7 linked regions of the Mus musculus genome follow. The protein of the gene in region 3 purifies or fractionates together with the protein of the main gene of each other region. This does not show direct contact. Links are inferred from orthologs where the notes say so. Each region holds a gene or a part of one and is shown on either strand. Other genes may lie near its edges. The genes, in order: Pop1, Pes1, Ifi204, Ebna1bp2, Gnl3, Brix1 and Ftsj3.

What was found.
Region 1: the proteins of Ifi204 (region 3) and Pop1 purify together in Homo sapiens (affinity purification with mass spectrometry; 3 studies listed by BioGRID and IntAct, with this or other methods). This does not show direct contact. The link is inferred for Mus musculus from reciprocal best matches to the Homo sapiens genes IFI16 and POP1.
Region 2: the proteins of Ifi204 (region 3) and Pes1 purify together in Homo sapiens (affinity purification with mass spectrometry; 3 studies listed by BioGRID and IntAct, with this or other methods). This does not show direct contact. The link is inferred for Mus musculus from reciprocal best matches to the Homo sapiens genes IFI16 and PES1.
Region 4: the proteins of Ifi204 (region 3) and Ebna1bp2 purify together in Homo sapiens (affinity purification with mass spectrometry; 3 studies listed by BioGRID and IntAct, with this or other methods). This does not show direct contact. The link is inferred for Mus musculus from reciprocal best matches to the Homo sapiens genes IFI16 and EBNA1BP2.
Region 5: the proteins of Ifi204 (region 3) and Gnl3 purify together in Homo sapiens (affinity purification with mass spectrometry; 3 studies listed by BioGRID and IntAct, with this or other methods). This does not show direct contact. The link is inferred for Mus musculus from reciprocal best matches to the Homo sapiens genes IFI16 and GNL3.
Region 6: the proteins of Ifi204 (region 3) and Brix1 purify together in Homo sapiens (affinity purification with mass spectrometry; 3 studies listed by BioGRID and IntAct, with this or other methods). This does not show direct contact. The link is inferred for Mus musculus from reciprocal best matches to the Homo sapiens genes IFI16 and BRIX1.
Region 7: the proteins of Ifi204 (region 3) and Ftsj3 purify together in Homo sapiens (affinity purification with mass spectrometry; 3 studies listed by BioGRID and IntAct, with this or other methods). This does not show direct contact. The link is inferred for Mus musculus from reciprocal best matches to the Homo sapiens genes IFI16 and FTSJ3.

The regions. Positions count from the first base shown.
Region 1 is NC_000081.6:34,505,311-34,508,810, forward strand, and holds part of Pop1 (ribonucleases P/MRP protein subunit POP1), read left to right. Parts: intron 1-1,108; coding exon 1,109-1,357; intron 1,358-2,809; coding exon 2,810-2,897; intron 2,898-3,293; coding exon 3,294-3,481; intron 3,482-3,500. UniProt on the Homo sapiens protein: Component of ribonuclease P, a ribonucleoprotein complex that generates mature tRNA molecules by cleaving their 5'-ends. Also a component of the MRP ribonuclease complex, which cleaves pre-rRNA sequences.
Region 2 is NC_000077.6:3,970,475-3,973,974, reverse strand, and holds part of Pes1 (pescadillo homolog), read right to left. Parts: intron 3,351-3,500; coding exon 3,241-3,350; intron 779-3,240; coding exon 607-778; intron 527-606; coding exon 437-526; intron 1-436. UniProt on the Homo sapiens protein: Component of the PeBoW complex, which is required for maturation of 28S and 5.8S ribosomal RNAs and formation of the 60S ribosome.
Region 3 is NC_000067.6:173,753,420-173,756,919, reverse strand, and holds part of Ifi204 (interferon-activable protein 204), read left to right. Parts: intron 1-890; coding exon 891-1,313; intron 1,314-3,500.
Region 4 is NC_000070.6:118,619,600-118,623,598, reverse strand, and holds the start of Ebna1bp2 (probable rRNA-processing protein EBP2), read right to left. Parts: upstream 2,801-3,999; 5' UTR 2,668-2,800; coding exon 2,602-2,667; intron 2,518-2,601; coding exon 2,434-2,517; intron 2,239-2,433; coding exon 2,066-2,238; intron 1,530-2,065; coding exon 1,406-1,529; intron 302-1,405; coding exon 212-301; intron 1-211. Other genes in the region: Cfap57 (cilia- and flagella-associated protein 57), read left to right, coding at 3,194-3,350. UniProt on the Homo sapiens protein: Required for the processing of the 27S pre-rRNA.
Region 5 is NC_000080.6:31,016,332-31,020,332, reverse strand, and holds the start of Gnl3 (guanine nucleotide-binding protein-like 3), read left to right. Parts: upstream 1-1,201; 5' UTR 1,202-1,391; coding exon 1,392-1,404; intron 1,405-2,466; coding exon 2,467-2,525; intron 2,526-2,919; coding exon 2,920-3,057; intron 3,058-3,165; coding exon 3,166-3,276; intron 3,277-3,425; coding exon 3,426-3,506; exon of another isoform or gene 3,507-3,520; intron 3,521-3,878; coding exon 3,879-4,001. UniProt on the Homo sapiens protein: May be required to maintain the proliferative capacity of stem cells. Stabilizes MDM2 by preventing its ubiquitination, and hence proteasomal degradation.
Region 6 is NC_000081.6:10,483,138-10,487,273, forward strand, and holds the start of Brix1 (ribosome biogenesis protein BRX1 homolog), read right to left. Parts: upstream 2,801-4,136; 5' UTR 2,757-2,800; coding exon 2,598-2,756; intron 270-2,597; coding exon 158-269; intron 1-157. Other genes in the region: cell cycle checkpoint protein RAD1, read left to right, coding at 3,382-3,579. UniProt on the Homo sapiens protein: Required for biogenesis of the 60S ribosomal subunit.
Region 7 is NC_000077.6:106,253,285-106,257,357, reverse strand, and holds the start of Ftsj3 (pre-rRNA 2'-O-ribose RNA methyltransferase FTSJ3), read left to right. Parts: upstream 1-1,273; 5' UTR 1,274-1,597; intron 1,598-1,680; 5' UTR 1,681-1,706; coding exon 1,707-1,773; intron 1,774-1,932; coding exon 1,933-2,038; intron 2,039-2,525; coding exon 2,526-2,572; intron 2,573-2,671; coding exon 2,672-2,751; intron 2,752-3,496; coding exon 3,497-3,596; intron 3,597-3,681; coding exon 3,682-3,876; intron 3,877-3,953; coding exon 3,954-4,069; intron 4,070-4,073. Other genes in the region: Psmc5 (26S proteasome regulatory subunit 8), read right to left, coding at 439-510, 1,144-1,167.

The sequences.
Region 1 (3,500 bases), on a different chromosome or scaffold from region 3:
GCAGGCAGTGCGATATTATAGCTGCTTTTAGTAGACCTTTAATCCCGGTGCTCAGGAGGCAGAGGCAAGAGGATCTCTGGTTTCCCAAGGAACCTTCTCTTCTCTTCTCTTCTCTTCTCTTCTCTTCTCTTCTCTTCTCTTCTCTCTCCTCTATCTTTCTCTTCTTTTTTTTTTGAGACAGGGTTTGACTTGGACCTAAGGATGACCTTGGATTGCAGGCATGGACTGCCATTCTGAGTAAAACATCCTCTTCCCTTCCCTTCCCTTCCCTTCCCTTCCCTTCCCTTCCCTTCCCTTCCCTTCTCCCTTCTCTTCTCTTCTCTTCTCTTCTCTTCTCTTCTCTTCTCTTCTCTTCTCTTCTCTTCTCTTCTCTCTCCTCTATCTTTCTCTTCTTTTTTTTGAGACAGGGTTTGACTTGGACCTAAGGATGACCTTGGATTGCAGGCATGGACTGCCATTCTGAGTAAAACATCCTCTTTTGTTTTGTTTTTGTTTTTTTTAGACAGGGTTTTTCTGTGTAGCCTTGGCTCTCCTGGAACTCACTCTACAGACCAGGCTATCCTCTGCCTCCTGAGTACTGGGATCAAGGGTGTGTTCTGCACCCCCACACCACGCCCCCCTGCAAATTTTTTACTTTCTAGATTGACTGTGAAGTCTGTTTTCTAGCAGAATTTAGCATTTATCTGTCTGTAGTCTAATGAAATGAATGAATTGGTGTTTCCACAAAGGTAATGGGTGGTTTTGAGCCACCATATGGGTGCTGGGAATTGAACCTGGGTTTTTGTAAGAGCAAGGCGTGGTAAAACACTGAGCCATCGCTCCAGCCTCTGTTGTATCTCCATAAAGGATGAGGCCTGCTTGTCCTGCTAGCAAGTGTTAGGTCTTTGTCTCCTTTCTAGGATTACCTGCCTCTGAAATCTTAATAGTTTCTATTGCCTCCCTCTTCAGTCAATGTGAGAGAAGACTCCAAACTAGCCAGCTAAGCAGAGGGGCCTGTCAGGTCTCCACCCCATCTGTTTATGCTTAGTCATTGAATCCTAGTGCTCCGCTGTGCTCTGAGATGCTTACAAAGAAGGTTCGGGTTCAGCCTTTCCTTTTTAAACTGTAGGCGGAGAAAGCTGCTCATCAGAAAAAAGAACATTCAAAAAATAAATGCCACAAAGCCCGAAGATGTCACATAAACCGGACTCTGGAATTTAACCGCAGACAACAGAAGAACATATGGTTAGAGACTCACATCTGGCACGCCAAACGGTTTCATATGGTGAAGAAGTGGGGTTACTGCCTTGGGGAGAGGCCCACGGCCAAGAGCCACCGAGCCTGCTATCGAGCCATGACAAACCTCTGCCTCCTGCAGGTACACCAGGCTACTGGACTTAGAACCTTCCCTGTGCCAAGTCTTAGGCTTGTTCATGGTGCAGCAGTCTTTTCTGTAATGTTACACATCTTCCAGATGAAGACAAGGACCCTGCTGGGTGCTGGAGGTGAAGGGAGAGGCACATATGTCCAATTGTTAGTCAGATAGATGGGTGTAAGAGACAGGATGCCAGGAGGGACAGGATGCCATTCTTTTTTAGTCAGTGCTAGACTAGAACACTTGATTTTATGCTTCACATGTGTTCATTCATCAGTAGTCCTTACAACAACAGCTTAAGGAAGTCAGTTCCTGTTTTATAGATGTGGAGACTAAGTTACCTCCGCCCATACAACCTGAGCTTGGGGCTCAGGCCATCTGACTTTTGACCATTTTTCTTTGTTGTGACCCAGTTGTATAAATTTGGGTGAGCTCCATCTGATAACTGAGAGGGAGCCATTGTTGGCAGGAAGGTTTCTGTGTCAATAATGGAAGTGGTTGATAGGGACTTGTTCAAATCACCACTGTAATTTTCAGTTCCTGCTGCTTAGCAGGCTGGACTTACTTCAGAGTGCTGTGGAGAGGGTTGCTTGGGCACTGGTCCTGGCTGCAGTGCACAGATGAGTGTGCCGGTGCCTTGGTGCCCTCTCCTGGGACATAAGAACAGGACTGATGGTTAACTTCAGGACTGTAGCAGTCAGCACAGTTCTTGAGATTCCTTCATACTCAGTCCAGTCTCTCCTCAGCTTCCTCTCAGTTTGCCCTGTGCATAGCTTACTCTAACTGGCATGGGAGGGAGATGGACAGATTAGTTCTTTATGTCCAACTTAGCACTGCACTCGGAGGTGCTGCAGTGGCTAGCCAAAGTGAGCAGGGGTTTTTTTAGCATAATTTTGTGGACTTCTTCTTGTCTTACTCCTTTACTGTGGCTTCTCACCTTCTGTAGATCTGAGGAATAATGAGTAATCCTTTTTTAAAAGCAGTAGTTTTTATAGCCTATTTTGAACTTGCCTGTGAGAGTAGAGTGAAGCACAATAAGCTTGCTAAAGTGTAGGGCACTGTATATGATAAATTAAATGAAGGTGCATTTTGATTTTGACTCAGATTGGCTTAAGACTATCTGCTAATGTAATAGTAGTAGGCAGGCTTTAGATTTTGAGTTGTTGAAAGCTGACTTCCGGTAATTGATTTTGTTCTTAGAACAGGTTTTCTGGTTGTCGGAGATGTTAGATCAGATCCCTTCTGGACGTGGAGTTAGAGGTAGTTGTGAACCACCCAAAGTGGGAGCTGGGAATTGAACTTGGGTCCTCTACAAGAATAGTTTGTGCTCTTAACCTCTGAGCCATCTCTCCTGTGTTCCTCCACAGGTTTTCTGATACAGCACTGGCTTCTTAGCATTTTTTTTTACCCCATAACAGATCCTAGAATATTTAAACATGTCTCTCCTTTGTTCAGGATTTATCATATTACTGCTGTTTGGAGTTGAAAGGCAAAGAGGAAGAACTACTGAAAGCGCTCTCTCAAATGTGTAGCATAGACGCAGGTAATTTCAACAGCTTGTGCTGTGTTAATCTTTGTGTATCTGTTCATTTGTAAATAAATGTCTGTTATAAGCACTACTAAGCAGTTCAGATTTAATATGGAAATGTAAGATATTCTTATTCCCAGTGAGTACGTTAATTTAAGAAAGGTTGAGTTGATATTTAAATCTTTAATAACATTCTTATGTAAAGTGAGTCATTATTCCCGGAGTAAACTTAGGCAGAAACACCTTGAAACTCACTAAATCATTGATTTAACAAAGATTTTTTGAGGACTTACTCTGGCCAGAACCAAAGCTTCTCTCAGAGACTGACAGTTGCTAAAGCATGGCTCTCAGGAATAATACTGCTCTGTGTGAGCACCCACAGTCTCGCTGTTGCATTTATGTTTGTGCCAGGCCTGACTTTTGCTGCAGTTCACTGCTTGTCTGGGAAGCGGCAAGGGAGCCTCATGCTTTACCGGGCAAATAAGTATCCCAGGGAAATGCTTGGGCCGGTTACCTTCATCTGGAAGTCTAGGATGACCCCAGAGGATGCTTCTGAGGATAGGCAGCTGTGGATCTGGCTTCACCCAACTCTTAAACTGGTATGTCTTTCTGTTGCAT
Region 2 (3,500 bases), on a different chromosome or scaffold from region 3:
ATTTAGCACAGCGGTTCTCAATGTGTGGGTAACCTAAGACCATATTCATATCAGATATTTACATTATGATTTATAACAGTGAATTTAGTTATGGAGTAGCAACAAAGATAACTTTATGGTTGGGGTCACCACAGCATGAGGAAGCCTGTTAAAGAATGGCAGTGTCGGGAAGGCTGAGAAGCACTGCTCTAGCAGGGGTGCTGGAGTGGACAGTCAGGCTTAGCCTATGCGTCTATGCTCATATCACACTGAGAACTGTGACTGATCAGGGTTATTGACCGACTGGGCTGTAGAGCATAGTCCCTATTCTGTCCCTGGCTCTCATCACGCGTAGCTGCCAATAATCAGGAACCAAGCAAGGGCTAGACTCCAAGACAGCACCCCACCAACACCTTTCCAGGAAACAGCACAAAGCCCTGCCAACAGGCACACTTACATCATGGGAGAAAGCATAGGGTGCAATCCATACGATGGGCTGACCCAGCACCTCAGCCTGATAATAAATGCCTTTAATGGACAGGAAGACCTGGGGAGGGAGGGAGAACAGCATGAAAGCCAAGGAGTGACAGGGCAGGACCAGGGCTCCCCAGAAGAGCCTCAGCTCACCTTGCGCAGGGCTCGGGCAGTGATGACATAGTGCAGGAACTCCACAGTGAGCCTACGGCACAACTGAATGGTCTGCACATGACACTTGCCAGTCCGAGGGAAGGTGGAGAAGAGGAAGCACATTGACAGGGCATCATCGAGGTCCCGCAGAGCATCGATAAATGTGGGGTACCTGCAGGGTGGAGAGGGCAGCATTCATGCCCACTCCATTGGGTTCCAAGGCCCTCTATCCAGAGGCCTTGACACCCAAGCTAGGCACTGCCACAGCTACTTCCTCAGATGGTGATAGCAACAACTTTCCCACAGCTGGCCATGCATCTGCAAACAATCCTGTAGCCACTGAAAACTAGAAAGTTCCAGTGAACTCTTGGGACCTCAGGAACCTTCCCCATGTTACCTTCTGTGAACGAGGACACCAAGTTGATGGCTCTTTGACTCTACTTGAAACTGGAAAGGCCCACAGAGAAAAAGGAAAAACGGGAAGTCGACCTAGTAGGCCAGGGAAAGTGGGCTTCCTTCCCCAGGCGCACTGGCACCTGGGTGGTCTTGTCTTCCCGTTTCTCAGCAGTCCGATGCATGTATCTGACAGATCCATCTCTAACTGGGACCCTGTCCAGTTAGAGTAATCACGGATTTCCAGGATCGCCGTGGTGAGTGAAGAAGCAGACAAAGTATCACTTGGGCAAGAGTGCTGGGATTGAATGATTTTTTGAGATAGGGTCTTACCTGTCTCAAAAGGTGTCAAAGCACAACTGCTTTGGTGGTTTCCAAAAAAAGGGACAGAAGTGTGGGACACAAAAGACACTCCATCTCAAGTCGTGGTACCTGAACTGAGCTGTGACCCTAACTGGGTCACTAGGCCTCATCTAACTCCAGCTTTATCTAGAAAAAGGCACTGCTGAACAAAAATGACTTAAAATACGGTGTCTTTAAGCAGCTGTGGTGGTGCACACCTGCAGTCCTGGCACTTGGGAGACTGAGGCAGAAGTATCCTGAGTTCCAGGCTAGCTTAGGTTACACTATAAGATCTTATCTCAAAAATCAAACCACCAATCCACCCACCTCTTGTGGCTCTAAACACACCGAGTAAAGACAAATATGCAGGACTCAGTTTCCCTCCTCAAGCTCGGCATCCCCAGAGCTGCCAGCATCTAAACCACAGTCTAGGAAGGCTCACTGGGAGAAAAGGTCTTTCCAGGTGTGCTGGAGCACACCTTTAATCCCAGCATTTGGGAGGGAGCGAGGGAGGGAAGGAGGGAGCGAGGGAGGGAGGGAGGGAGGGCGATCTCTGGGAGCTGGAGGCCAATGAATTTCAGGATAGTCAGAGCTAGTGAGACCCTGTCTCAAAAAACCATTCAAACCTTTAATTCCAGCACTTGGGAGGCAGGGCAGATTTTTTTAGGTCAGCATGGTCTACAGAGCAAGTTCCAGAACTCCAGAGAAACCCTGTCTTTAACAACAACAACTAAGATTGCCCTGCCATGTTATAAAGGGCTCTGAAGGGCACAGGCAACACTGCTTACGACAACTGAGAGGGCTGCCAGGACTTCAAAAGCAGGCAGAGATGAAGGGAAGCCTTAGGGACCTGGCAGGTGATGGGACAGCTTCCTAGGTTCCTGAGGCAGAGGAAGCATCCTTCTTCAGCCCCCTTGGTGCCTCAAAGTTTCCTAACTTTCTACTCTGTAGACAAAGCTAACACCCCAGGCCCTTTGTAGGTCAAGCACACGCCTCTTCTAGACCACCCGGCTTTGGTTCTGGTAAAGGAGACTTTTTGCTTTGTGAATGAACCCAGGTGCTTGTTCTGGGTTCATTCACACCCACTATCTCTTCCATATAAAGGTCATGTCATAGGCAGGACAGGAGCTACCAAAATGTCTGTTAGTAACGTGTACTTGCTCAGGAGTTCCTGTCCTCTGGCATCCAGTTCCTGATACCAACTGTTATCTTCCAGGCCAAGGCCCTCCAGATCCCAGGAAGGAAGCTAGGCCCCTTCATTCTGGAACTAAGTGTGCCTAGACCACTGCACAGAACAGAGATAATAGCCTAGTAGTTCTACACTTAATTAGTTCCAGGCCAAAGTGTTGTGGAAACTATTATGAACACTGAAGAATATTTAGCACCAATGCTGGCTTCCATCCAAACTGTAGGAACTACAAGGGTCTTCAGGCATTTGCCCAATTCCCCAGAAAAGGCAGAAGTCACTGATCAGCTAGTGACTGGGAGGGGTCTTTGGAAGGCTGAGCAAGAAACAGTTAAGACCAGACCTCTCTTACCATGCTTTCTAAGTCTGTAGTATGGGAACTAGTGGCTCCAGCTCTTCCACCATGGGGCCTTTGAAGGTACTGCTGTCTCTGCTCATGAAGTGTATTCCTGGCTGCCCCAAATAGGTCATTTTGCAGACACCTCTCTGAGTATGCAATTGTACCATACACCTAAGCCCTCTCCATGCTGCCTTACAACCCTTACTGTAACCAATGCTACTTACAATCAGGACTGATTGCTAGCTTGGCTTTTGGTCTAACTCCTCTAAGAGGACATGCACTATCAGTCAAGTGCTGGTCTTGAGCCCATTTCATCCCTAACACTAGGACAGCACTCAGCAGCAACAGCAGCATTCTGAGGTGCAGGACTCACCGCTCCTTGACAATGTGGTCAAGTTTGTAGCAGGGTTTATTGTCCTTCAGGCGCTCCACAGCATTCCATTCGCTCTTTCCATAGGCTTTGCGGAGCTTCCGAACAAACACCTGGAAGAAGGGACCAATGAGGCTTCGGCCAGGGCCTCTGAGCATCTCCTCTATGGAGGATGAACATGGGGCAGGGTCTTCTCAATGCTTTCTGAAACTGGTCATACCTGTTTGCCTGGGCCAACAGGCCCCTCAGCTCAAGAATGCCAA
Region 3 (3,500 bases):
ACCACTAAATGTATTACTTTACTTTTTTATGTTATGCGAATTGGTTGCACTGATCAAAAAATTAGATCCAATTGGGTCTGTGGAGACAGAAACACTATCTCCATAAACTCAAAATCTATGAAGTTCATAGCTTTTTGACACTTTGCAGATTGTCTCATAGTTAGAGAATCTTCTCTCCATTCAAATACTCTATTGAAATCCAGGGAGCTCAGACCACTATACAGAAAAGAGATCAGATCCTACCAATATCTCTCAGGTTCCACAAATCATTGCTGATCAGGAAAACTCTCTATCCATGTTTAAGGACATGTCTCTAACAAAATAACTCTACTGGAGCCTATTTAAATGAAGGGGCTGTGAGCCAGCTAGTATTTTTGATCATTTAATGATAGACTGTTACACCTTGTGGAGATACACTGTGATTTCTATCCTCAAAATAACCCACAGTGAGTCCGATGGTAACTAAAGACCTTTGACACCTTTATGATATTTTATAATTATTGTCTATTTTCAAAAACATTTAATTTTCCATTTTTATCTGCTTTGGACATAGTGTAAAGATTTTATTTGAATTAATCATATTTCTACTTAAGTACTCCATAAAATTATTCTCAAAGAATGTGCTGTATTTATATTCAACACTTTTCTTCATGTTAGAAAGTAACTCTTTTTTTTCAGTGAAAGTGTTTAAATGTCAGTGGATGGAGCCCCTTGCTTTAATTCATTGGCCTTTTGGTCAACTAAAGAATTCCTGTTTAGCTTATCTTCAGTTTTACAAATTCATAAAAATTGTTAGGAACAATGTTGAGATTGAGATTTGTCTCATGTAAAGGTTAATTTGTATTTCTGCTAAACTCATATGTTTATATCCCTGTATTTGTTCAACACAGAACCAAAAATCACAACCCCAGAATCAGAACATTCCCAGAGGTGCTGTTCTCCACTCAGAGCCCCTGACAGTGATGGTGCTCACTGCAACAGACCCATTTGAATATGAATCACCAGAACATGAAGTAAAGAACATGCTTCATGCTACAGTGGCTACAGTGAGCCAGTATTTCCATGTGAAAGTTTTCAACATCAACTTGAAAGAAAAGTTCACAAAAAAGAATTTTATCATCATATCCAATTACTTTGAGAGCAAAGGCATCCTGGAGATCAATGAGACTTCCTCTGTGTTAGAGGCTGCTCCTGACCAAATGATTGAAGTGCCCAACAGTATTATCAGAAATGCAAATGCCAGCCCTAAGATCTGTGATATTCAAAAGGGTACTTCTGGAGCAGTGTTCTATGGAGTGTTTACATTACACAAGGTAAGGTGTGAAAACTTGTCTTTTAACCTTCTACACCAACACCTGGAAACAATTTCCATAATAATTTTTCATTTAGTGCTTAATGACAGTATTGCAACACAAGACTCTACCTTGTCTAGGGATAAAAAGAGAAATCATCAAATAGATTAGGGAATAAGATTGGGTGATCTCTTAACACTCAATTCCCTAAGATAGATCTGAGAGAACTCTCTGGAAATGGTGTACAAGATACTTCCTTTTACTACTTACAAATACTTATGCTCAGCCACAGCGAGCAGGAAAGTGACAGGGCACAGGTTGGTGTCATGCTAACAGTTTCTATTTGAAGCTCTATGCAACTATACAACACTTATTCATTTCTTTCTCTTGGAAGCTTTATGGCTCTTTAGTAGTCTTTTAACAAAAGCTCTTTTAAAAAATCAGAGGGTGGATTGGGTGGGTGAGATAAAAATCTGGAGTGTAAAAAAATAGATAGATTTAAAATAGAAAAAAATCTATTGTTTTATGGCATACTCTTTTCACACTAAGCATATGAACATCAATGGAGTACTACTCAGCTATTAAAAAGAATGAATTTATGAAATTCCTAGGCAAATGGATGGACCTGGAGGGCATCATCCTGAGTGAGGTAACCCAATCACAAAAGAACTCACATGATATATACTCACTGATAAGTGGATATTAGCCCAGAAACTTAGAATACCCAAGATATAGGATACAATTTGCAAAGCGCATGAGACTCAGGAGGAAAGAAGACCAGGGTGTGGAAGCTTTGCCCCTTCTTAGAATTGGGAGCGGAACACCCATGGAGGGAGTCGCAGAGATGAAGTTTGGAGCTGAGACAAAGGGGTGGACCGTCTAGAGACTGCCATATCCAGGGATCCAACCCGTAATCAGCCTCCAAACGCTGACACCATTGCATACACTAGCAAGATTTTGCTGAAAGGACCCTGATATCGCTGTCTCTTGTGAGACTATGCTGGGGCCTGGCAAACACAGAAGTGGATGCTCACAGTAAGCTATTGGATGGATCACAGGGACCCCAATGGAGGAGCTAGAGAGAGTACCCTAGGAGCTGAGGGGATCTGCAATCCTATGGGTGGAACAACAATATGAACTAACCAGTGCCCCCCGGAGCTTGTGTCTCTAGCTGCATATGTATCAGAGGATGGCCTGGTCGGCCATCAGTGGAAAGAGAGGCCCATTGGTTGTGCAGACTTTATCTGCCTCAGTGCAGGGGAATGCCAGGGCCAGGAAGTGTGTGAGTGGGTGGGTGGGGGAGGGTGTGGGGGACTTTTGGGATAGCACTGAAGATGTGAATGAAGAAAGTACCTAATTAAAAATAAAATAAAATTAAATTAAATTAAAAAAGAAGACCTGAGGAGACTGTGTCAGCAGCAGGAGGATTAAACCAAGGATTGTTTTTTTGTTTGTTTGTTTTTGTTTTTGTTTTTTTTTTAATAATGTCACTTGAAACCTTGTTTCCAAACAACAACAAAACCAAAAATTTAATAAAAAATGAATTAATTATCAAGAAAAAGAAATTTATGGGTAATAGCTTGAGTAATGTTCAATGCAGTATAAATTGGAGACTATTTCAAAAAATTACCTAAACGAATGCAAATATTGACTATGACAATTTGGGAGTTATATATAGATTAGATGGCAAACTCTTCAAGTCAAAACCATTCAATAAAATGAATTGACTATCTCTACATATAGTAGGTTTAAGCATTTAGTGTAGATTCTTGTGTGTTGTTCTATTAACGAGTTATTTCTGATTAGCATAGCAACTGAGAACTACTATATGAAATGACATTTTGGAGGCAAATCAACCTACTTTTCTAGATTCACTAGATTTCTAGACTTACTAGATATATACAGATATCTTTTTGATGCATCAAAGAAGGAAGAGGCCTGTCCAAAGTTCTGATTCCAGTGATCTCTGGTAATTTGCTGGGAACCCAGGCTGTTGAGAAATAGAGAGTAGTGGAAACAGGAAGAACATTTATTGTCCTAGCACTTCCTGGAAGAAATCTGCAATTCAAGAAATCAAATTATTATAGTTGTAGAGAAATGGCATGAGGAGACTGCTCCCAGCTTGCTAGCTGTGAGGAAACCTGGGATCTTTGTCACTCTCAGCAGACTGAGTGAGGAGGCATACTTTCTCAAGGAGGGAATCCTGCT
Region 4 (3,999 bases), on a different chromosome or scaffold from region 3:
CACAAAGTCAGCCCTGCATCCCAAACCATCACTCTAGAGACTGCAGCTCAGCCACTGCTACCACACTATGCTGGATACACCCAGGTGTGCCACGGTGGCGAGTGAACCTGTGCTCAGGGACACCAGCAGACACTTTACCAGGAACCCCAGCACAGTCTGCCCTGGCGCACCCGGCCCTGCCCGGCCCACGCAGGTGCTCTTTCTTTCTCACCTTCTTTCCATATTTCCTAAGCGCTCGAAGTTGCTTGGCCTTTTCAGATTTCTCCATGGCGGCCTGTTTAGTCTGCAGCTTCTGTCGAATCTAAAACGCAGAGAGTTGTTAGGCACTATTTGGAGCACACTAGAATGGAGCGCCAGTGTCTGACTAGCTCTGAACGCTGTGGAACTCATTTACTGTCCTAGATTTCCAAATTAAAACAATACGGTCCCAAAGCTGAGCCTGGCACCAAAAGTGTCCATGGGCTGAAGGAGCTTAAACACGACCCTGACTCTCTAAGGCACAAAGCTGCCTACTTATCATACAGGACCTGCTGTTTCTCCACAGATTAAGGCAAAACTGCAGCATTCTAATGGCCCACATCTGTAATAGTTCCTGCACACTCGTACCTCACCTCTTCCATCACACACACACACACACTCACACACACATTGTACTGAAAGTGCTAAGTAGTTATGTGTGTGACTGTCAGATGTAGATGGATCTGTGCTTGTCTCAGGATTGGCCTCTTGAGGTACCACCTGTAATTCTCTAGGCCAAAGACTGAGACCAAAGGAACAATTTTAAATACATCCTGGATGTGACGTCAAGGTTTTTTTCCTCCCAAAGTTAAGTGAAGATCAAATCCCCCAACTCTAAGTCACACCACATCTGAGTTATCCGTCAAGTCTTCCATTTCTAAAAAGCTAAAGGGCCAGAGAGGAAAACCCCATCTAGAAGCAACAGTAATCTCCTTGGCATTGCTGGGCCAGAACTCTAAGACTGTTGTGTCTGTCCACTCCACTCACTCTGACAGGGAAGAAATACGCAAACCCCCAACTCTAAGTCACACCACATCTGAGTTATCCGTCAAGTCTTCCATTTCTAAAAAGCTAAAGGGCCAGAGAGGAAAACCCCATCTAGAAGCAACAGTAATCTCCTTGGCATTGCTGGGCCAGAACTCTAAGACTGTTGTGTCTGTCCACTCCACTCACTCTGACAGGGAAGAAATACGCAAGCTTCTTTTCGTAGGGCCCATACTTCTCCAGACCGTCTCTCTCTAATTTGCCTAGGCGACTGGCATGGCTCTGAAGCAGAGACTGTTGAAATACTGGCTACAAACACCACACATCTTTTTTTTTTTTTGAAGACTACAGGAATGACCCAGCTGAACAAATGAAACCTTGGCTTTCCAGAAGAAAAACCTACCTTTTGCATCTGCTGATCAGACTTGGCCATTTCTGCAAAATAATCGGTGGGCCTCTTCGTAGGGACTTGGAGCTGATGGAGTCGGGGTAATACCGCAAGCACTGCTGCCTGGGCCTGCCGGTAGCTGACATTACAGGACAGGGTGTAATGAGGGGAGGGGAAGGGCGCTCATGTCTTCTTACTGCCTCTCAGAAGTTACCTAACCTCAGAGCTATCACATCCCACCAGCACTGGCAAGATAAGACAGACACACCAACTAAAACTCCACTGATTGCACATATAACTGAAATCTCACTTTATGTTTATTTACGAGGGGAAAATACTTCCAAGAGCAAGTCAGTTTAAAACAACGAGCTTATTAAATACTGCGCAGACTATGAACTGTTTCCCAATCATTACAGAAAGAGCACTCATAACATTCCCTAGGCAAAGTGTGTTCTAATGATTGGAGGCACCCACACAAGCTTCAAATGAATTATTCTGAAACATCCCTCGAGCAGGGTTCTGGTTAAACGGCGACCAAGAACCTATTCTTTCCACCAGAGGAACCCGCTAGATCCACTCGCACGCTCGTGCTAACCCCGCCCAGTGCCTCTGAGGTTGCAGACACACTAAGACCCCCTTCCTGTAACTCCATCGCAGGACCCATAACAAACATACAAACTCATTTCCCTCTGGAAGTCGTCTTCTGGATTAACGCCTTTCTTCTGGTCCTGGTTCTGAGGTGTTGGCTGAGTCTCACTGACTTCTGGCACTGGACCCAGGGTCACATCGAGCCTTTCAACCCACTCCAGATCCCGTCTGAATTCAGCCAAGCACTGTTTCAGGCCACTCTAGGTTAAGTCAGACAAGGCGCTCATGAGAACCGCGAGTTTGACTCTCAGAAACCCAAAGTCCTATGCTCAAATATCCGCACAGGATGACGACCGCAGCGCAGGGTGCATCTTTCCCACCAGAATCGGTCTCCCAAGAGGCACAGCGCTTGTGCGCATCCTGTTCCAAGGACCCCGACCCTCGCACGAGCTCACCACGTCATTCACTGCCTTCTTCGGCTTCTCTAGCACGACATTGAGACCTGGCTTCAGGAGTCCGCGGGAAAACGCATCCTGCAACTACAGACCGGGGAGCCTCAGTACCAAAGAGCTAAATAAAGTCCCCGTCCCAGCCCCTGCCCCGCTAGCTCCGCTGCGGCCTACCTCTTGATCTGAGGCCAGGCACGCATCCGACTCCGAGTCCGACTCTGAAAGCGGAGGGGTGTCCATCTCGCGGCCTTCCGCCCCGCGAGGTTCGGCTGCCACTCCACGTGCCCACAAGCAGCACCACCGCCAACAAATTCTCCACAAGCCTCTGCCTTTTCAACAGGGACTTCCGCTTCCGGGTTCATAGCCGCACTTCCGGTTTTCTCGTTGCTATAGGAACTGCTCTAGCGTTTGGGCGTGCCCGGATTGCTTCGGATCTTTAGGAAGAGCACCTACTGATCCCTACGTAGTCTAGTAACCCAGAGCCGTGAAGCAAGAGGTAAATAGTTTCTTTGGGGTCCTCCTAAGGATCTGAGGGCGGTGGGAGTGCAGGAGAGGAAGGAAAGGCTCGGAAAGAGCCCCGGGGGTGGGGTGGAAAGGAAGAGGAGCCTAGGGGCGGGGCGATGGAGGGGCGAGGCGGGGTCAGGGAGGGGCGGGCCGGGGCCATGGGCGGGGCGGGGCGGGGCAGGAAAGGGAGATGCGCTGCTCGGCTTCACTCCCACCTACTTGCCTCTTTCTTCATCTTTTGCAATACTTTTTGACAGGTACCATGTCCACCGTGGTAGCTCAGGCGCTTCATGTTTTTGGTCTTCGGCCTCACGTGACCAACAATGTCTTCTTCTTCGATGAACAGATCATTATATTTCCTTCAGGAAATCACTGTGTGAAGTACAATATAGATCAGAAATGGCAAAAATTCATTGCAGGTAAAAAAGAAAAAAAGAAACCACCTTTTCCATTCTGACACATACATTAAAGGCATGTGCTACACAAAACCGCACAATCTCAACGATTGGGAAGATTTTTTTTTGATAACTGGGTTATCCACATATTTTTATAAATGTAAACAAAATAAATGGCCATTTACACTACTTAATCATAGATTAACGTGACACAAGTAGCCAAAATGACAGGTAAAATAACACACGTTTTAAAAGTACTTTTCCACAATGACTCCAGAGAAGAGTTACTTTAAACAGTGTTTTTCTTGTATTCTCCTGCAGTTGTGTTTGTCCTCACCAGAACCTTCTTTTGAGTCTAACGGTTTTGAGAGTACATGACCTTCATTGAACCCATGTCTGATGGAGACGCTGAAATTTTTATCTTAAGTGACAAATAACCTTTTAACATTTTTTTTTTTTTTGGTTTTTCGAGACAGAGTTTCTCTGTGTAGCCCTGACTGTCCTGGAACTCACTCTGTAGACCAGGCTGGCCTCGAACTCAGAAATCTGCCTGCCTCTGCCTCCCAAGTGCTGGGATTAAAGGTGTATGCCACCACTGCCCGGATTATTTACTTATTTTAAAGAGTTATGTATACAGTTTTCTGCCTGAATGTATACCTGCAGGCCAGAAGAG
Region 5 (4,001 bases), on a different chromosome or scaffold from region 3:
GATCTTAAAAACTACTAAAGCAAAAGCTATGTTCCTCAACATCTGGAATCCAATATGCTTCTGAATTACTTTGGGGGGAAAAGCCTACTACCAAATGGGTTAAGAAAGAAACGTATAACCACTTTTTTGTTTTAATGGCAGGTCTCACTATGTAACCCAAGTACACTGGAACTTGCGATACTCCCAACTCAAGAGCTAGAACAGGTGTTTTCTACTGTGCCTGGCTCCTACAGTAAGTTTTGAAAAGTTTGGATTAAGATAGCATATTCCACCATACGCTTCTATAGTTAGTCCTCGAATTCCTACATCCGGTCTATTGTGTATTTGTCATTTGTTTTCCAGGAATTTTATATTTTTGTCCCCCCTTTGATATCAAATTTTCTTAAAATAAGACTCACTTCTTCAGAAAACAAAATTTTGAAACGGAAAATACTTTTAAAACCAGAAAATACAGTTTACAAAAACTCAACTCGTCGTGACGGTACAAATGAGAAGCTTAAGTACCTAGCCTGTAAATAAGTAAGTCTCTCTGACAAAAACAAAAAAATATTCCGTTTGGGCGATCATTGGGAAAGAAAAAAACAAAAACAAAAACTCAATAGGGAGTTTTTTGCCGAACGCACAAGAAACCAAAAAAAAAAAAAAAAAAAAAAAAAAAAAAAAAAAAAAAAAGAGGCCTTGAGAGGCGGAGGAAAAGAAGAGTTCGCCCGACCTGTCACTGGTTCTGGGGCTAAAGGAAACGTTGACAGCTTTGAAGGCGGCCCGCGACGGGCGGGAAAGAGCAGCGAAGGGAGTTTCCGGGCCCTGCTCTGCCTTTGTCCCGGCGGCAGGTGCGGCCGGGCTGCTGGGCCCTGTCCCGAGGCCCCGCCGCCGTGCCGTGCCGCGCCCCGCCCCGCGCCCTGCCCGACCAGCGCGTCCGCACCACGGGGCGGGGCCTCCGCCGCGACTCCCGCCCGCCCGCCCGCCCGCCCGGGCCGACACAAAGGCCCGGCAGCCGGCCGAGGAGGGGCGGCCCCGCCCGCCCCGGGCCCGGCCTTACCCCGCCGCTCCGCCGCCTGCAGCCCCGGCTGCGGTCCCCGACCGCCGAGCCCCGCCCCGTGGCCGCCACGGCTGCTAGCGCTCCTCTGGCCGCGGCCGTCTCTCCGGCACCCGCCGCCCTCACCGCCCTCACCCCTCCCAGTGCTGCCGTAAATCCAACCTGTGGCCGCCAGGCGAGCCCGGCTCGGCGCGACAGTGTATGTGTGTGCGCGCGCACTCGGCCCGGCCCCGACACACTTTCCGGCAGGTCCTGGAGCGCGTGACGTTGAACCGCAGTTCCAGTTCGCACGTGGCGCCCGAGAAGTCGTGGTGATCCCGAGACCTCCTCTGCTCCTGAAGCGTCCGCGGCCAGGATGAAGAGGCCTAGTGAGTGGGGTCGGGAGCGAAACGCGCGGGTGGTGCTTTGTGGCTGGAGGGAGAGGACTCTCCATAGGCCATTGATGAGTTCCGCGTAGATCTGATGCTTAGAAGGCCCAGACCCAAATTTGGCCTGTTGTATAGCAGGAGAGCTAAGCCCTTGAGAGGAAAACCGAGCCAGATTTCTGTGATTAACGTGTTTGAGCCTCTTTTCGAGCCTGCCGTTTTCCTAGAACTATTCAGAACCATGGTCTTTCGGCCTTGGTGGCACGCGCCCTAATCATGTACACGAAGGATGACGCAGTAAGATAGAAAGTTTGCAGCCAGCCTGGGCTGTATACTGAAACCATGGCTTAAAAATTAAAAAAAGAGCCTGGCCGTGTTGGCGCACGCCTTTAATCCCAGCACTTGGGAGGCAGAGGCAGGCGAATTTCTGAGATCGAGGCCAGCCTGGTCTACCAGGACAGCCAGGGCTACACAGAGAAACCCTGTCTCGAAAAAATAAAAATAAAGAAAGAAACCTTGATATTTGTAGTGCTTTCCTCTAGAAGCTGCTTCCATTGTGGGTCCACCGAGTCGAATTGACTGGCGTTGTGGTGTGATTTCCATTAAATACCCTGCATAACTTTGCAGGGACGGTTGAGGCAAGATCTATGTTGCCCGGGATAGCCTTATTGTTGTAGGCCCCCATGGCCTGATAAAACAATCTCTTGAGGGCCAGGAATATGGCTATAAACACTTGCCACTAAGCCTTACTGTCAAGAGTTCAAACTCATATGATAGGTAGAACTGACTCCTGGAAATTGCTTTCAGACCTACACACAAAATAAGTAAATGAAACATTTTGGGTATGGAGTGAAGACCCAGGGTTGTCCCAGCCCACGTGGCAGCTCCATGCTGTCTGTAGAAGGACAAGTGATGAAGCCCTCTTGTGGCTTCCTTTGCAAGAACACTACATGCACGTGGTTGGTCTGCTGACAAGAGAGGGCAAAACATCCATATAGGTGATGTGAGAAATTTAAAACACTCACTGCTCATGTGTGCAGTCTTTCTCTTTCTTTGTTTTGGCAGAGTTAAAGAAAGCGAGTAAACGTATGACCTGCCATAAGCGATATAAAATTCAAAAAAAGGTAAGTGTTCTGTGAGGCCCATAGCAAGTGGGGTGCTAACATGGCTTTCTTCATCTCTGTGGGGAAGGCTCTTGTCATGGTATAGGATTGGACAGACTGCAGCTGTGGGAAAGTACAGGGTAAACGAAAGCCTCAAGCTAGCACACTGGCATCTTTACAGAGAGCTGCAACACTTTTCTGTTTTTTGTGTACATGTTAATTCCCTGTATAGTTCCAGTTGAAGTTCTGCTTTTCTAGGGTGCTTCACATCCATTATAAATTGCGGATAGGCTGGCTTGTTCCCTAAGTTCTCAGTGCTTATGTATTTTTGTAGGGCGAGTTGTTTCTTTTGTATTAATACTGAGGATTGAACCAAGGCAAGTGCCTTCCGACCTCATAGAGCTGTTTTTAATAGGTCCGAGAACATCATCGAAAATTAAGGAAGGAAGCTAAAAAACGGGGTCACAAGAAGCCTAGGAAGGACCCAGGTGTTCCAAATAGTGCTCCCTTTAAAGAGGCTCTTCTTCGTGAAGCTGAACTAAGGAAACAGCAGGTAATTTTTGCTGGCTGAAAGCTCCAGTAGAATGATATATGTGGTTTCCAAAGCAATACACTGCCACCAGTCACTCGCTCATTCCTCTCTTTCACGTCTCTGACACAGCTTGAAGAACTAAAACAGCAGCAGAAACTTGATAGGCAAAAAGAGCAAGAAAGGAAAAGAAAACTTGAAGTTAGCCCTGGTGATGAGCAGTCTAATGTGGAAACTAGGGAGGTAAGGTTATCTTTCCTTAAAACTTGCGTTCCTTGGGAGTAACAAAACGTAGGCTTTCTCATCCATTTAAAATATATTGCCTGTAGTGATCTGTGGGAAATGTTGATATACTGGTAACAACTGCTGTTTCTAATTTTTCTTCCTTTTAGGAATCTGACGAGCCCAAAAGAAAGAAAGCCAAAGCAGGCAAACAGAATCCAAAGAAGTTACATTGCCAGGAACTTAAAAAGGTACCTTAGTATAGGTTAGTGTCAAAAATGATCTAAGATTTTTGAAAACTTAGTCCTTGACAGCTGCTTTGTAAAGAGGGAATTCTTAGAACGCTGTTGAAGTCAGAGTCTAAAGGGTGGGCAGTGGATTCCCAATGTGCTTGCTTGCTAGAGCTCCCCATTTCAGGCATGCATTTCCCAAGCTCACCTACCTGCCTTCTAAAAAGGCCTGTTAACCTAAGGACTCAATTGGGTAGATTATATGTCCAGACTTAACAGTCAACATACTTGATAGTGAAATGCATACAGGAGATCCTATCTTCTGGATTCACTGTCAGTGTTGAGGGTGCTACTCAGTAAGGACTGCTGCTCTGATGGTTTCTTACTTGACAGGTGATTGAAGCCTCAGACATTGTGTTAGAAGTTTTGGATGCCAGAGATCCTCTTGGTTGCAGGTGTCCTCAGATAGAAGAAGCTGTTATCCAGAGTGGGAGTAAGAAGCTGATACTTGTATTA
Region 6 (4,136 bases), on a different chromosome or scaffold from region 3:
CAGTTCTGGGGACTAAACTCAGATCTACTTCACTAAGCTGTCCCCGAAACCCTTGTGTTGGGGTTCTTTGCCTGACAAAGCCGAGCAAACAAGTAAGTATGTAATATACGGTAAGCAGGCTTATACACACACAGTTTAAAGCCCGATATTAAAGTACCTGCTTTAGAATGAGGCATCAACATTCTCAAGTCCTGCATTAAGTGTCTTGTTCTGAAATTTATTCCTCTGGAAGAAAAGATGAGGATCCGTTCCTTATTTTTCCATTTGCCCTGAAGAAAAGAAAACCTTAGAGCTTAACATTTTGTGCTGAACATACTTGGTGTGTTTCTGACAGTCGTCAAGTCTCCAATCTCTGGCATCACTGGTATACCTCTATGTAGTCCCAGCTAGGGAGGCTGAAGCAGGAGGAGCACTTGAACCAGGAAACTGAGGCTATCCTGGGAATACAGACAACTGTCCGCAACTGAGAAACATTAAAACAAAACAAAACAAACCACTTTTCAACTGCCCCTCACCACCATAAGGATCTTTTCTTAGCACCCTTTCATTTTTAACTTTTTATTGGTCTCCATTACAGTACCTATGTTCATTTCCAGGTTTTTTTTTTCTGTGTTTGTTTTTTGTTTTGGATTTTTGAGACATGGTTTCTCTGTATAGCCCTGGCTATCCTGGACCTCACTCTGTAGACCAGGCTGGCCTTGAACCCAGAAATCCACCTGCCTCTGCCTCCCGAGTGCTGGGATTAAAGGCGTACGCCATCAGTGCCTGGCTTCATTTCCAGTTTTAACCATGTACAGAAGGGTAAGAAGTCTCTCTAGCTCTAGTAATGCATGCACTAAAGTAAAGCTTCAAGCTCGTCTGTGTAACACAAACCTTTACCAAATTTAAATCTAGCATATTTCCTTACCAACATTCCTTTCTCCTCTCCTGTCCTTCCATCTTTCTGCTACTTCATTTCAGTTCCTCATGCTCTGAAGACCCCTTTACCTCTAGTTTCTCTCTCTCTCTCTCTCTCTCTCTCTCTCTCTCTCTCTCTCTCTCTCTCTCTCTCTCTATTTTTCAAGACAGGGTTTCTCTGTGTAGCCCTGGCTGTCCTGGAACTTGGATTCAGAAATCTGCCTGCCTCTTCCTCCCGAGTGCTGGGATTAAAGGAGTGTGCCACCACGCCCAGCTGTCTCTAGTTTCTTATATAGACATCATAAGCACTACTAAATCGGTACCTCCTTACAACAATTTATAACGCTTACAAGTGTCCTCAAATCCCTGTGACTGATTATCAGCTGCGAAGCTCTTGGATGTCTGGCTTGCCCAGACAGAATCACCGCTGACAGCCAACTAGCCCCAATTTAATCTTGGTTTCCAAACCTCAAAATGTCAAATACCCTCTATACTACATGTTCACTGTTTACACCTCCACTGCCCAACACTGACCCTGCACATTCTCAGCTAACCAGCTGAGTTTAGAATTTCTAAACCCCCATTTAATGCCGTTGATGAATTTTTTCCACCACCCCCCCCCCCTGTCTTTCTAAATACATAAATTTAAGCCTTTCTTTGAAATTCAGCTAAAAGTTACTATTAGGGTGTTTCCTTACCACCCTAATAGTAGTAATTGTCTCATTAATTCCAATTCATATATCATAGTGTGATTCAGATTAGTTCCCTTCATGTTTCATGTCCAGCTCCTAAGAGGGAGCGCACTAACTTTTATTGAAAACCAGCTAATTTTCCTCAAAAGTCACTTTTATCCTTTCAGACAAAGGTACAAGATTTAACTGTTAATTAAAAGTGGGGTACAATGTCCACATTGCCTCACTCAGTACTTGAGTACTACACTAAGCACAAAGGACTAACAAGTCTGAGGCAAGATTTCCTCCATACAGATACCTTCCTTAAGGAGTTTCCAGGTGACTGAAAGTAACTCCAACAAGAACCTGCTGGCCTTTAGAAGAGACACACAGTTTTCTATGAAGCCTTCTTTCCTTCTAAACTCCAATATTTCTGGAGGAACTCTTGTTCATTATTTCCTAGATGCTAAGGCCAGGGAAGCTCATCTTGGTATAAGTGTGTCGCACTGTTTGACACAGTAAAACTAGTGGTCTAGGACCCTTGAGTTAAAAGATCTAACCAAACAAGTCAGAGTCACAGACTCACAGGACTGTAGCTTTAAAGGCTTGGCAAATAAATAAATAAATACATACATACATACATACATACTTCGGTAATCCTATGTGATACGGACCAAAACAGAAGGAATTTATAGTTACACCAAAAAGACTCTGAGAAAAAAAAAAAAAAAAGACAAAGGAAAACCATTACTCTGGGGAGGCGGGGTGGGGGTCAGTAACTGGAAGACAAGGATCCTGGAACTAAACACCCATTAAATCAACTCCCTGTTAACTGGCTTAGGGTCTACGAACTGCTGTCTCCAGGAAGAAGGCCATCTACACGAAAATTAGACATAAACACTGTCCAGTCCCTCCAGGGAACCCTAAGCATAAGATCCTGTCAAGTTTTGACTGGAGTCACTTCGCTGCTTCGGTGGCCCAAAGGTGGGTCAGAGCGCCGACTCCAACTTCGGGAGTCGGGCCTCTTACCTTGCAAACCGGACCTGGAATACGATCTCTATTTTCCTCCTCCGCCTCTTTGGCCACATCGGCCTGCTTAGCTGGCTGCCCGGCATCTTTCGAGCTCCTTTTTGGCTTCTTCGCTTGAACCTCCAAGCCTCCACGCCGCTTTCTCTTGGTCGCCGCCATCTCGCCTCGCCGCGTCGGTCGCTGCCTGCACTTCCGGTTCTGCCGCTCGCTCTGCCTTCCGATCTCTATGGTAGCCCACGTTAGGCTGTGAGTTAAGTCATCCGGCTCCAAGGCGCTCGCTTCCGGTCTCGAGGTAGACTCTCTAGGCACACGGCGGCTCGGTGGTGACGGTGGCCTAGGTGGTTGCGTATCTGAACGGTGGCGGGAGCTGTTTGCCTGGCTTGCTAGCTTTTTGGACGCTCAGGGTGTTCTTGGGGCTGGGGTGGCAGGGGCTTTGAGGGGTCGGACGTCACCCACAGCCTGGCGCCAGGGGCTCCCTTAGTGGCCGCTGTGCGGCGAGCGGGCCGAAGTCGCGTTCTCCTGCAAGCCAGGTTGGTGGCGCTCAGAGGTGCTAAGCAAGCCCGGTTACCCGCGCCTTTTAGAGCTACCCTGTGAACTGCATTCAGTGTAGAATACCGTAGTTTTGAGACATGAAAATAGAATGATCTCGATTTCGGCTCGGGTTGAGGTCGCCAGTCCTGTCCGCACTGATAGCGAGGTTTGTTGTTCCGTGTCTCAGGTTTTCACACATCTTCCGGAAGAGGAGCATCCTTCTTCTCGGAGCCGACGGTACCGTGGACCATCCATGCCTCTCCTAACCCAGTACAATGAAGAGGAGTACGAACAGTACTGCTTAGTGGCCAGCCTTGACAACGTTAGGAATCTCTCCACTGTCTTGAAAGCCATTCATTTCAGAGAACACGCCACGTGTTTTGCTACCAAAAACGGAATCAAGGTTACAGTGGAGAATGCAAAGTGTGTGCAAGCAAATGCCTTTATTCAGGTATGGGGGAGTGAAGACATTTTTAAAGCATTCCCTAATGAATGAATTTGGAAGGACTTAATTCAACAAAACTCAAGTTAGTGAACAAAATGTCGTTACTTTTTTTTCTTTCCTGCCAACAAATACTTTCCCCATCTTGTCTCACACAGATAACGATTACTAGTGATAGTTTATTAATGACTCTTCTCACCATTTTCCTCTTTTAATCTTTACACATATAGACACTTTCTCGTTTGACATAGTGGCACCAGATTTAATTTTCAGTAGTCTTACAACTGATTGAATTAGGGCGAGAACCCTATTTACTCTTTACAGTATTATTGTCATGCACGTTTTAGTTTTTCCTCTTATTGGCTGTAATTTTTCCTCGGAGCATTTTCCCCCGGAGATAGAGTCTAACATGTAACCCTGGTTACCTGGAACTTGGTTTATAGACCAGACTGGCTTCAAGTTCTTGGAGATCCGCCTGCTTCTGCCTTGCCTCTGCCTCCCAAGTGCTGGGATTAAAGGCATGTACCACCACTGCCTGACACTGAATTATCCTATCCTTAAGTGAC
Region 7 (4,073 bases), on a different chromosome or scaffold from region 3:
CACACAAACAAAAAATCCTAACTAAACACTATTCCCATCAAAGAGATTATCAATCTACCTTACACAGCTTGGTACCTCCTGACTACAAAGGAGCTGGAGAGATGGCTCAGCAGTCAAGAGGGTTTCTTACTGCTTTTGCAGAGGGCCTGGGTTTAGTTCTCAGCACCTGTAGTAGCTCATAACTATTTGTACGTAACTCAAGTTTCAGGGGATCCACTGCCCTCTTCTGACTTGCACAGACATCTGTATATATGTGATACACATAAGCTTACGCAGGCATATATACATATACACATAAGAAACAGACAAGCAAAGAGCTGCAAACGAACAACATTGGAAAAGAACTCTTTGCTGCACTCCCAGTGGAAAAAGGACACAGAGAAATCTGCACCTACCAGCTCCCGTCCTCCACTAGCTCCCTTTGCTGTCTGTACTCACCTGGAGTTCTTCAATCTTGGACAGATAATATTGACGGAGTCCACTGCCTGCCTTCCCCTCTTCCAGTTCCATCTGAAGACAAGTGTAAGTGTTAAAAAAAAAAAAGAAGAAAAGAAAAGAAAAGAAAAAGAAAAGGCATAAAGTACTAAAGGGTAAAGCCAAAGTATTTTCGAGGCACTCTACCATATAGCTTAAGAAACAAGGTCAGGAAAATACCATTCCCTTTTCCTCAGAAACTGGTATCTCGATGGGCGAGGTCTGTGTGTTTGAACTTCGGAGGCTTAGTTCTTGGTTCTAAGCCTTCATTTCTGAATCCACTACAAGGATGCAATTACCGCCTACCTTCGAGGACTTTTAGGAGTCTCAAGGGGCCATATACCCACCGAGCGCACTGCCCTGTGGCTAGAGCTACACATCCCCAGGGTTTAACTACTACAGACAAAGGCAGAACAGAGGGACCAAGTCCAGGTCGAAGCCCAGGCCATTCCGGCTTGCCAGCTTCATTCAGTTTCCACCCACCCCTGTCCTGCTTTCCTCAGGGCGGCGCTGACACAGCAGATCCAGTCCCAGGCAGAGTCCGGTCTGACGTGATCCACCCACCCCTGATCCACTGGACCCTCTCGCTCGTGGCCACCCCTCACTTCAGATTTTGTGCACTCCACACTCAGCTTGGATGCCGCCCAGCCGCCGCGGCAGAATCCTTACCTGCTCTGGCCCATCAAGCGCCATCTTCCCTCTCTCGGCAGGGATCGCCGGCATCCAAGTCACTCTATCGCGCAGGCGCGGAGGCGAAAGCATGCGCCCTGGGTCACCACCGAGAACAGTTCCGGGTCAATGGGCGGGGTGTGTGGCGATACAAACACAGTGGCTGTATTAGTAGAGGCTCTACTGGAGGTCACTAGTTTTGTGAAGAGATATAGAACTTCTGGTTGATGCTTCCTAGCGTTTAGGATACGAGTTATTGCACTCTACTTCCTAGCCTCTACTTTTAACTTGTAAGGCCTGCTGACAAAAAAATTTTGGCCACACTCAAAATGGCGGAAATCATGACGCCAGGAATGTAGGAAACGCGCGCAGAAGCGGAAGTACGATTACTGCCTACATGTGCTGCTTCCTAAGAGTTGAAAACCTGCGGAGTTAAGGGCTATCTAACGTCTGGGTAAGTGATTGCTCCACCGCCTGAGGAACCGAAGCGAGATCCAGTGCTCGGAAAGACGATCTCACCTTTTTCTTTCTCCCCAGAGTGAGTGATACTCCCCCATCCCGCCATGGGCAAGAAAGGCAAAGTAGGCAAGAGCCGGCGGGACAAGTTCTATCACTTGGCCAAGGAGACTGGTGAGTGGGTTCGCGCTGAGGAACAACATCCCCGTCTTTTCGCTTCTTCTAGTCCCGAGTTCCTTTTCCTTCGAGGGGGTTATGGGATTGTGAGGCTTTCCTCCTGGGAAAGGCCTCCGTAGACGGTATTGCCTTATACACCCACTCTCCACGATCCAGGTTATCGTTCGCGCTCTGCCTTCAAACTGATCCAGCTCAATCGCCGCTTTCAGTTCCTGCAGAAAGCCCGGGCCTTGTTGGACCTGTGTGCTGCGCCTGGCGGATGGTAACGTTTGGCAGGGGCTGCTATGATGACACGTTCCTGGCACTGGTTGGCTTTGAGTTGCTTTTCGGGGAGGATGGGAATCCGATTACACAATTCAGATTAAATATTCCATAGTATGTGTCTCTCTCAAATTTTGGAAGGGAGCGTCATTTTCCCCCTCTTGTGGTACTGAACCTAAGGACTTAACTCATGCTAAGGACTTAACTCATGCTAGGCAGCCCCTCCACCACCGAGTTATATCTCCAATTGCTTTATTTTGAGACAGGGACGCTGAAAAATTGCCAAGGATGGCCTTGAACTTTTGGTCTTAATCTCTTGCCCTCCTTAGTGGCTGGTAATGCAGCCCTGTGTTGCCATGCCCAGCAGGTTGCTTCTTGAATGTATGCATAGACATTTGGCCACTACACTTAACAGGTGCCTCTTAAGGGGATGAGAAGTCACCTTGCCAAGGGAGGATGAAAGGTATTTAAATCTGTCTCTTTCACAGGCTGCAGGTGGCTGCCAAGTTTATGCCTGTATCCAGTCTTATTGTAGGTGGGTGACTCTTGGGTATTTGAGGGGGAGGGGTGGGTTAGGTACTAATTTTGTCCTACATCTTCCTCCACCCTGTAATACTGAGTTAACATCTTTTAGGAGTGGACCTCGTTCCAATCAAGCCTCTCCCCAATGTGGTGACTCTCCAGGAGGATATCACAACAGAACGCTGTAGGCAGGTAATAAGACCTCTCCTTCTTTTCTTTCCTCTTTATGTGCTGGTGTCATTGCCTACTTATTTATTTATTTAGTGTGTGTGGTCTTTCGAGACAGGGTTTCTCTGTGTAGCCCTGGCTGTCCTGGAACTCACTCTGTAGACCAGGCTGGCCTTGAACTCAGAAATCTGCCTGCCTCTGCCTCCCAAGTGCTGGGATTAAAGGGGTGTGCCACTAGTGCCTGGCTGTCATTGCCTCTGAAGAGTGAATGAAACACTTCCCAATTTACCATGGTTTCAAGCACGTGGCCAAAAAGACTGACAATCCTTGTGTACATTTCCATCTTTATTTACAATCAAGTGTTTTTGTTTTTCCCTGAGATAGAGTCTTGCTGTGTACTTTAGGATAGCTTCTAACTGTGTAGCCCACACTGATGTGGAGCTGAGTACATAGCCTAGTTTGGCCTTGATCTTGCAGTCTCTCTCCCTCTGCCTCTGGGATTGCAGTCGAGTGCCACCGTGCCTGGCAGGGATAGTACTGTGAATTGGTGGAAGGATGAGAGATCTATCTTCAGAAAAATTCTTTCCAGGGAACTAATTCTAAGCTTGGGGAAGATGTATATTTTTTGTTGCTGTTGCATCCCTAGTACCTGGTGCAGGATGTTGGCACTGGTGGGCGCTCAGTGCATGACTAGACAGATGACTGAACCAGAGTTCTGTTCTTAGCAGTTACTGTGTTTCCATTGCTAGAACCCCTTTACTTTCATTAGGCCCTGAGGAAGGAGCTGAAGACCTGGAAAGTTGATGTTGTGCTCAATGATGGGGCTCCCAATGTGGGGGCTAGTTGGGTCCATGACGCTTACTCCCAAGGTACAGGGAATGTGGGCTTGGAGGTGAGGGTGGAGGTAGCACATCGAAAGGCTGCAGAGGTTCCCTGACTGTTTCCGTCCTACAGCTCACCTAACTCTGATGGCTCTGCGTTTGGCTTGTGATTTTTTGGCCCGTGGTGGTTGTTTCATCACAAAAGTCTTTCGTTCCCGAGACTATCAGCCCTTGCTGTGGATCTTCCAGCAGCTGTTCCACCGTGTCCAGGCCACGAAGCCCCAAGCCTCTCGCCATGAATCTGCAGAAATCTTTGTAGTCTGTCAAGGTGAGACGTTATTCCTTCCTCTTGACACAACCTAATTATGAAAGCAAACTTTTATTTAATCTATCTTCTCCTTTTAGGATTCCTGGCTCCGGACAAGGTTGATGCTAAATTCTTTGATCCCAAGTTTGCCTTTAAGGAGGTTGAAGTTCAGGCTAAAACTGTTACTGAGTTGGTGACAAAGAAGAAGCCAAAGGTGG